Linked DNA regions of Arabidopsis thaliana. The protein of the gene in region 1 interacts with the protein of each later gene in a pairwise test. Each region holds a gene or a part of one and is shown on either strand. Other genes may lie near its edges.

Region 1 (3,925 bases):
TGTTAAACAAACATCACAAATAATTTTAGACATCAATGAAAAAAGTGTTGGAAAACTCTTACGTATCACACAAATCCATTTTTTAAAAAGCATGCCTTATGTATTAAAGAGAAATTGAACAAATTCTCATCTATTCATACAGAAACCAAACCAACAAACAAACTGGTCGATAAACAAAAATCCATAACAAGAAAGACGAGAATGAGAAGAGTTTTAAGGTCTCAACATCAGACATTTCTTTCTAGGTTGGTCTTGGAGTTGCCCATTCAACCCTGAGGATGAGGTTATCATAACCATAACCATTCAATTTGTTGATTGCTCTTTGAGCGTCTTCTCTGCTCACGAAATTGACGAAACCAAATCCTCTGCTCACTCCAGTTTTCTGATCAATGGCCACATAGACACGTGTGACAGCTCCAAACGGGTGGAACAGCTCCATCAAGTCAGGTTCACGGGTATCCTCGGACAGATTGGTTACACGCACAGAGTTCTCATCGTTCCTCCTCCTCATGTCTGAACCCACAGCGCTTCTGTCTGCACCTGCTCTCATGCTAGGCGGGACATACGCGGCCTTGCCAGTTCCAGGTGCAGCAGACATGGTAGATGATTCCCCTGTGGGTGGCTTGTCAATGAAGACATCGGTTGGTGCAGCTAGATCCTTGTATGGACATTTTGATGTCCAGTGATCTCCTTTCTTGTGGCATATCCTGCACACCATGAGAACTGCACCACCTTTACCCAGCTGAGACAAGCCATCTCCTGTTGCCTTTGATTCATCCGCTTTGGTACCTGAAGTATCACACACCGTTAAGATACACACAATTACACAAAGAATGAAAGATAGTTGTGAACCAATGGCCAACTCATAGTCAACTTTAAAATGATACAGTAATGCATAGCCACAGAATCAAACATAGCAACCTATGTCTGCACTATAAGCCACTGATTAACATCATCTTTGATGGCTATCTATACAACTAGTCATTCACCTATCAATAGATTGATCACGAAAGCCCTAGTAACATTATCAAGGAACTTAAACTTTGCCCGTTTACAAACCATTTGACATTGGTTCATTGAAACACAAGATCATGGTGACTCCTACATCAATCTAATTTTTTCATCAAGGTAATAACACAAAAGGAGACAACATGTCACAGGACAAAATTTTTAACAATCGAAACTAAAGCTTCCAAACATCAAATGGGAGACAACATGTCACAGGAGAAAAGCTTTAACAATCGAAACTAAAGCTTCCTAACATCAAGTAGGAGACCAATGAAAAGCTGCAACATCTATGTGTACAGTTAGCAGCCACAAAAGTGAGAGCACATTTCAGCTCGTACTCAGGAATGGACTACAAACAATAAACTGCTATCGGTGACATACTGACCAATCACACAAACAAGTAGCCTCACGGCTAACATGTGATTCGCTAATTGGTCACCTTAACCCAATAGTATTAGACTAAACAATAAAACTAATGAATCAAACAATGAATTGGACAGCAATCCCAAGTTAGAACATATCACAAACAACATCTTTCTAGGTGAGTCTAGAAACTTATTCACACAATTAGCACAGCCATAAGACTGAACATTTTACCAACTCAATTAGATCAAAGTGCACAAATTTATAATTTTAACTCCAAATTCAATACGAACCAATAACCCCACGAATCTCAACAAACAAAAATCACCAGAATCATCATCATCATCAGAGGGAGAGAATTTACCAGGAGCTCGGGGTCGTTCGAGAAGGATCTCTTCGGTAGAAACCATAGTGAGATGGCTACCAGCTTCCTCATTGGCTGCGTCTCCGAACTTAGGCCAGTTCCTCCTCTCCATGGCTCGTTTGTTGAGTCGAGCAGAAGCTAGCTTGCGGACACGTGTCCTAGTCGTTATCTTAACCTTATTTTCTTCATCGTTGAATTTGTACTCGATCGTCGTCTTCAAACCATTCTCATCTGGACCAATCACCTGCTTGGGAGGGAGCAAGAAATCCAGATCTTCGTCTTCGTCCATTTCCCCCCATCTGAATTTGCTCGTTTTTTGCTGCGAATCGATCGTCATCGTCACTCGTTTGGGATTCAGATGCGCCGCTTTTGCTTCGATCGTAACCTAAAACTGAAGAAGAAGACGAAGAAGAAGAAGCACTTTTAGGGTTTCCTATCTTATCTGTGTGTGCTCCGTAACCGGAACGCACCGTTTTGATTCCTTCAGAATTTTACTTGGTCCAGTAGCAATTTTAATGTGAAGAAATTCAATTTTTAAAATTCTAATATCTACAAAAAGCTGTGTCCAGGCCCGCTCCACTAAGCCTCTTACCCTCTTCTAGGAATTAATTTAGACTCTCTTATGTTTTTTGGGCTTTTCGTTATAACACTTATTTACAGGATTGATTCTTCTTTTAAAAGAACTACTGATTCCACAAGCGAAGCCCACATGTTTTGGCGTTTTGTCTACCAAAATTTTAAAACACAATTGATAAAGCACTGTACTGTTCTATCTCAAATCCAAAAACTATACGTAGAAAAAGCCAATGAAAGATTTTGTAAAACTGAATCACTTACACACTTTATAGACTGAAAGAGTATACAAAGAACCTTAAGAAAACAACACTATATTCTGCCTTGTAGTTCTAGTCAACTAACTAGAACAAAGAGCCGCATCTGTAACCAGACCAGTGGCCTTATAATTTACTAGCTTACTACTGGAAGACAAGAATAACTGCGATTGTTTGTGCACATGATGAAGGAATTGGAGTTCATGTCTTTCCTCGAAACCCCTGTGATGTCCCGGGTTGGTTTGCAATAAGATCGAATCAATGCTTTATGTTGACTTTAAAGTTCGCTGTAGTTACGCCAGACAGCCCTGAATTCTTCACGGAATGTGTTCAAGCGGGCCTTGAGGTTTGGAGTTCTCAGGCTTGCATGAAGAAGTATCACTAAGGGAGAGAGAAAAATTACAAGTCAAAAGGATGGAAACTGGACCCAAAAAAACAGAGAAAGAGATGAAAGCAAGGATAGCTTACTGAGAAGGGCAGTGGTAAGTGCATAGAGGACCCATAACAAACCACATGAAGTAAACCACAGGACAAAACTGGCTACATAAGGAAAATCATATATTTTGCATCAGTTCACAGAGAAGTTGCATACCAATAGGTGAGAGAGATTATATGATAAAGAGATAATAAGTACCGGTTAAGCCAAGTAAGACGAATACCAAACGTGGTTGGCCACAAATGTAGACTGTCTTTCTAGTTGCAGATCGCCCACGAATGACAGGCCTGCAAGGTGTTCACTCAAGTAGTAAATAACAAAAACCATCTGTAACTCTTCCATGGGAATAAAAAATTACTCACATGTGGGGAGGCCTCATCTTTGCAGCTAAATGTGGCGAGAAATGCCTAATGGTCCGGATCATCTTCTCATTAAAAGTAGCTGCAAAACTGCAAAAGACAAGAAAAACCTTAGCGCCATCAAATCAATGAGTAAAGTAAAAACCAACCATGCAAATCACTGAAAATAGAGAAACTTAAAACACTCAAGTTTTAAGAAACAACACCATTACATATTGAATTTCATACTAAGCACAGACACATCAAGGGTTTTACACTGACAATACTCATGATAGAGGAACCTTAAATCCCTCATGTTTACAGAATTAACGCCATAAACTATTGAATTTAGTACTACGCACAGACATTTTAAGGGCTAATCATTGAAAATAGAGAACTTTGCAACACTCGAGTTTTATATACCATCAAGAGAACCTTATTGAATCTAAACGCTAAGCACAGACACTTTAAGGAATCACTGAATATAGATAGAGAACCTCCTCCTAAACATTCTATAGATGCGAACCAACAACAACCGGAATAACAAATGCATCTTTAAGTAACGATAGACAGTAGAAACTAACGC
Region 2 (3,925 bases), on another chromosome or scaffold:
GAAACACAGAAAGAGGATTAAATAAGAAATCTTTTCAGGTTTTTCTTTTTCGATTAACTGAATGAACGACTTTGAAACCTCGTATGTTAAGTGACGATCGGTTGAACCGGGTTTGCACAGAGTGACTGAAGAAATGGTTCCAGTGCCTGACATTATACAAAGAGCCCGAGGTCTTTGTTGTGAAAATGACAAAACTTTCGCAGCAATGTCCTGCAAAGAAAAATAAAAGGAAATTGATACAATGAAAAGCTGCATAAATGATCATTAATATATAAAGGAGTTTTGGTCAGTTTACTTCTCCTGCTCCAATGCTGATCACATGAGGTGCAAAAGCAAGTCCAGCTGAAGTATTCATCCACTCACCTAAAGAAATTATCAGAGTCAAGAGTTTGCTATTACTTAAAGTTTGATTAATCACATTATGATGACCAATTACTTAAACATGAATGGATTAGTAAGATTACTCTTTCACAGCTTAAAAACCTAAATCAATAACTTAAATCAAGAAGTCGATTTCGTCCACATCTACTAATAACCAATTACTCCTCTCACCTAGCATTGTACCACACATAGATCCGTCAAACTAATAGCCAACAATCAATATTGAGTATCAGTAACGACAAAGTAACAAAACCTAACTTAACTATAGAATCATTCAAAGCTTCTAGCATCCATAAGATTCAAGCTCATGTCCTTCAAGACTAGCTAACAGAGCTAAAGCAAAAACTTAACTTGACAAAGTACACAGAATAGAAAACTCGAGATCTCACCAAGATTAGCCAAGCGTTGCTTCCTTCCAGTTCCAGGAGGTCGACCTCTGGCCCGTTTAGGTTCATTAGGATCAGACATTGGAGAAGAGTCCCTAGACTTATTACTAACCATCGGTTCTCCATACTTTCTTGGCCGTCCACGTTTCCTCTTAACCATCGGTTCCTCTGGTGGTGGCGGTGGCGGTGGCGGTTGCACATCAGCATCAGAAGCAGAGGAGACCACTCCCATGTGAATGGTGTGTCCAAAATCCGAGAAAGGAGGTCCTGGATTGTTAGCCTGAGGGTGATGAATGTTAGGGTTAGACATTGGCCTCAATCCCGTATGTGGCGGCGGCGCGTGAAGCCCACTCGCGACTTGGGAAGGTGCGAGATTAGTAAAGGCTCCTCTTTGAAGATAGTACTGAGAATGCGAGCCTGGAAATGCCATTGCTTCTCTTCCGTCCATGCATTAAAAACTCCAAAATTACAAGTCTTTAACAGAAATAAGAGATTTTTAAATTGATTAACAAAAAAAGGAAACAAATTTATCTAATCTAATACCCAGAAATCATAAACCCTAATTCCCAAAAGTAGTAAAGAGAACAACAATGGCGGTTTTAAAATTACCCAGTAATCAAAGTCGGGTTATTTATACTGTGAGCTCAAAATCCAATTTGTTCTTATGAACCCTAAAAAAAAAAAGCTAAAATCTGAGTTCACTTATAGAACTCGAAAAAGTACGATTGCAGATTTGAAATTAAGAAAACAGAGGAAAGTAGCTTCTCCTACTGTTACAGTCTTGCAGAGAAAAAAATCAAATCTCCCCCTAAGAGAAAAGCTAGATTTGATTGAGAGAAATCTAGGGTTTCTGAGAAGGAGAACACAATGTATATCAGAGGAGAGACAAAGGAAGAAGACAGATGAGACAATTCAGGGAGAAGAAGAGAAAAAGAGAGAGAGAGAGAGAGAGAGAGAGAGAGAGAGAGAGAGAGAGAGAGAGAGAGAGAGAGAGAGAGAGAGACTAACAGTTTAATGATTCTGATTTATACTTTTAATATTGTGAACTTTTGAATTGAGAGAGGTCTTTCTCTGAAAGTTAGAAGAAAACTAAAGAAGCTGAACGAGAGTGACGACCATTGTTTTTCGTATTTATATATCTCTTTAATTGATTTGTTATTTAATTTTGTGAAAGATAAATTCAATTGAGAGAAAGATTATTATGAAAGATTTAAGCATAGTTTGTTTAAGAATATTTGTTTAAGAATATTTAATGTATTAGTTTGTTTAAGAATATTTAATGTATTAGTTTGTTTAAGAATAGTTTATTTAAAGTATTAGTTTGTTTAAGAATATTTGTTTTTAATAAAAAGGATAGACTTTCTTTGATGATTATTACAAATCTAATATCTCGTTAGATCTTTGACTGAAACCGAAATTTATTAGTCATTGAGAGACAATTATGTGCTTTATTCTCATAAACATTGCTACCAATAAAGATTTAAAAAAAAAATCTTTTCTAACATATTCTAAAGAAAACAGTTGACATTTTAGATTATTATATCATGTAATATATTATTTCTTCTGTGACACACTTTTTCCGTTTTTATATGGAATCATGTTTAGTGGGTAAAATATGTATGCAAAATTTGAAGATAAATTCAATATATATATATGAAAAGTATAATAATGTTTCTAAAGAAACTAAAAAAATAAAGTGAAAATAAAAAGAGAAAAATGTACAAACCTTTTAAAATAATCAAAAATATATTATTCTTGCTAGAAAAAAGAAAAAACTACAACATGATTATTTCAATTTTGGAGCTATTTTAGTGGCTTTACAAACTTTCTACACCTCAACTAATCATGTCTATATATCTTCAATAGTTATCTGTAATTTTTTTTGGTCAACTGCTCTATAATATATTTATAATTTATTTTTAATTAGTATAGATAATTATAAGATTATTTCAAAATATATCTAAAAATTTTAGGTTTTCTTATAAATATATAATCTTGAAATTTCATTCAGTTACACTTTGACAAGAGGCAAGACTAGTATGAAATGACTTCATATCATCTTAATTCAAATTAAGATTTTAAAAGAACAAAAAAAATCAAATCTTGTTGTAAAAAGTTTGATCTTGATTAGAAATATCCAAATATGAGAGAGATGTGTTGTTGACTAAAGGATAGGAAAGAGAATGGGGACACACTTGAATCTCTTCTCTCTCACATGTCTAACTCACTTTGCTATTTCTTTCTTTGCTTCGGACAGTGAGCCCTCTCTCCTAACTTTATTTGTTTTCCATTTTTATATTCCCCTTTTTCTCTTTTACTTTTTATCTAAAATTCTTTTTTTTTATTTTCTTTTAAAAGTTTTGAAAGTGATTTATTAATATATATATATATATATATACGTACATATATTTTGTTTCCACCTAATTTGAAAGTTTGTATGATGCATTTAATATCCGGTGGCTAAAGTACCCGACCAAAAAATCCAAATAGTCAAAATTTGGTGCTAGATATAAATAAAAGTTTTCTAGAGATATATCATATATTATATATTTTGGGTTTAATTAGATTTGTTTTGCTACTCCATTATGAATAATCTTTACATTAATTTGTTTTGTTTAATGTCAACAATATTACATTTGCACACATTTGACTTTTGACAATAAAATAAAGAGTTTTGACTTTCCTTCTTTCACTTTTTGTTTTGCCAACTTTTTACCTAAAGTAATGTGACTTGTCTTTTTTTACTTAGAAATTTCATGATAGGAAAAATTTGAGGCCGACCATTACTGAACTTATACAATATTTTACTTGTTCTTCTTACATAAATAGCTATAAACATACACAAATCAGTCCATTTCATCTACATGTAACATTAATAACTTTAATAAATAAACAAGATATGGACAGTGTGAAATTCACAATAAATGTACTAGATAGATTTTCAAAAATGGAAGAAGAGTGTTGAAGGAAGCTTTCAGCTTGAGGATGGTGTCTCAAAAGGTACAATAAGGCTCTGTTTCTATGAAAGTCCCTTACTTATTACTTCACAACACATATACACACATTATGATACATACATATATAGAGAGATATGATTGTGGGTCTCTGAAACATGATGTCATCAAAAGTGGGTCTCTTTCTGATTCTTGTAAGGAAAG

The links.
Region 2: the proteins of EIF3G1 (region 1) and AT1G63480 interact in a two-hybrid assay, tested with the Arabidopsis thaliana proteins (one large-scale study listed by BioGRID).

What each region holds. Positions count from the first base shown.
Region 1 is NC_003074.8:3,576,683-3,580,607, reverse strand, and holds EIF3G1 (eukaryotic translation initiation factor 3G1), read right to left. Parts: upstream 2,221-3,925; 5' UTR 2,073-2,220; coding exon 1,736-2,072; intron 1,448-1,735; coding exon 1,419-1,447; intron 1,358-1,418; coding exon 1,306-1,357; exon of another isoform or gene 1,299-1,305; intron 790-1,298; coding exon 242-789; 3' UTR 39-241; downstream 1-38. Other genes in the region: PRA1.A3 (prenylated RAB acceptor 1.A3), read right to left, coding at 2,843-2,946, 3,034-3,105, 3,200-3,288, 3,364-3,450.
Region 2 is NC_003070.9:23,540,471-23,544,395, forward strand, and holds the start of AT1G63480 (AT hook motif DNA-binding family protein), read right to left. Parts: upstream 1,764-3,925; 5' UTR 1,216-1,763; coding exon 771-1,215; intron 364-770; coding exon 296-363; intron 211-295; coding exon 79-210; intron 1-78. UniProt on the Arabidopsis thaliana protein: Transcription factor that specifically binds AT-rich DNA sequences related to the nuclear matrix attachment regions (MARs).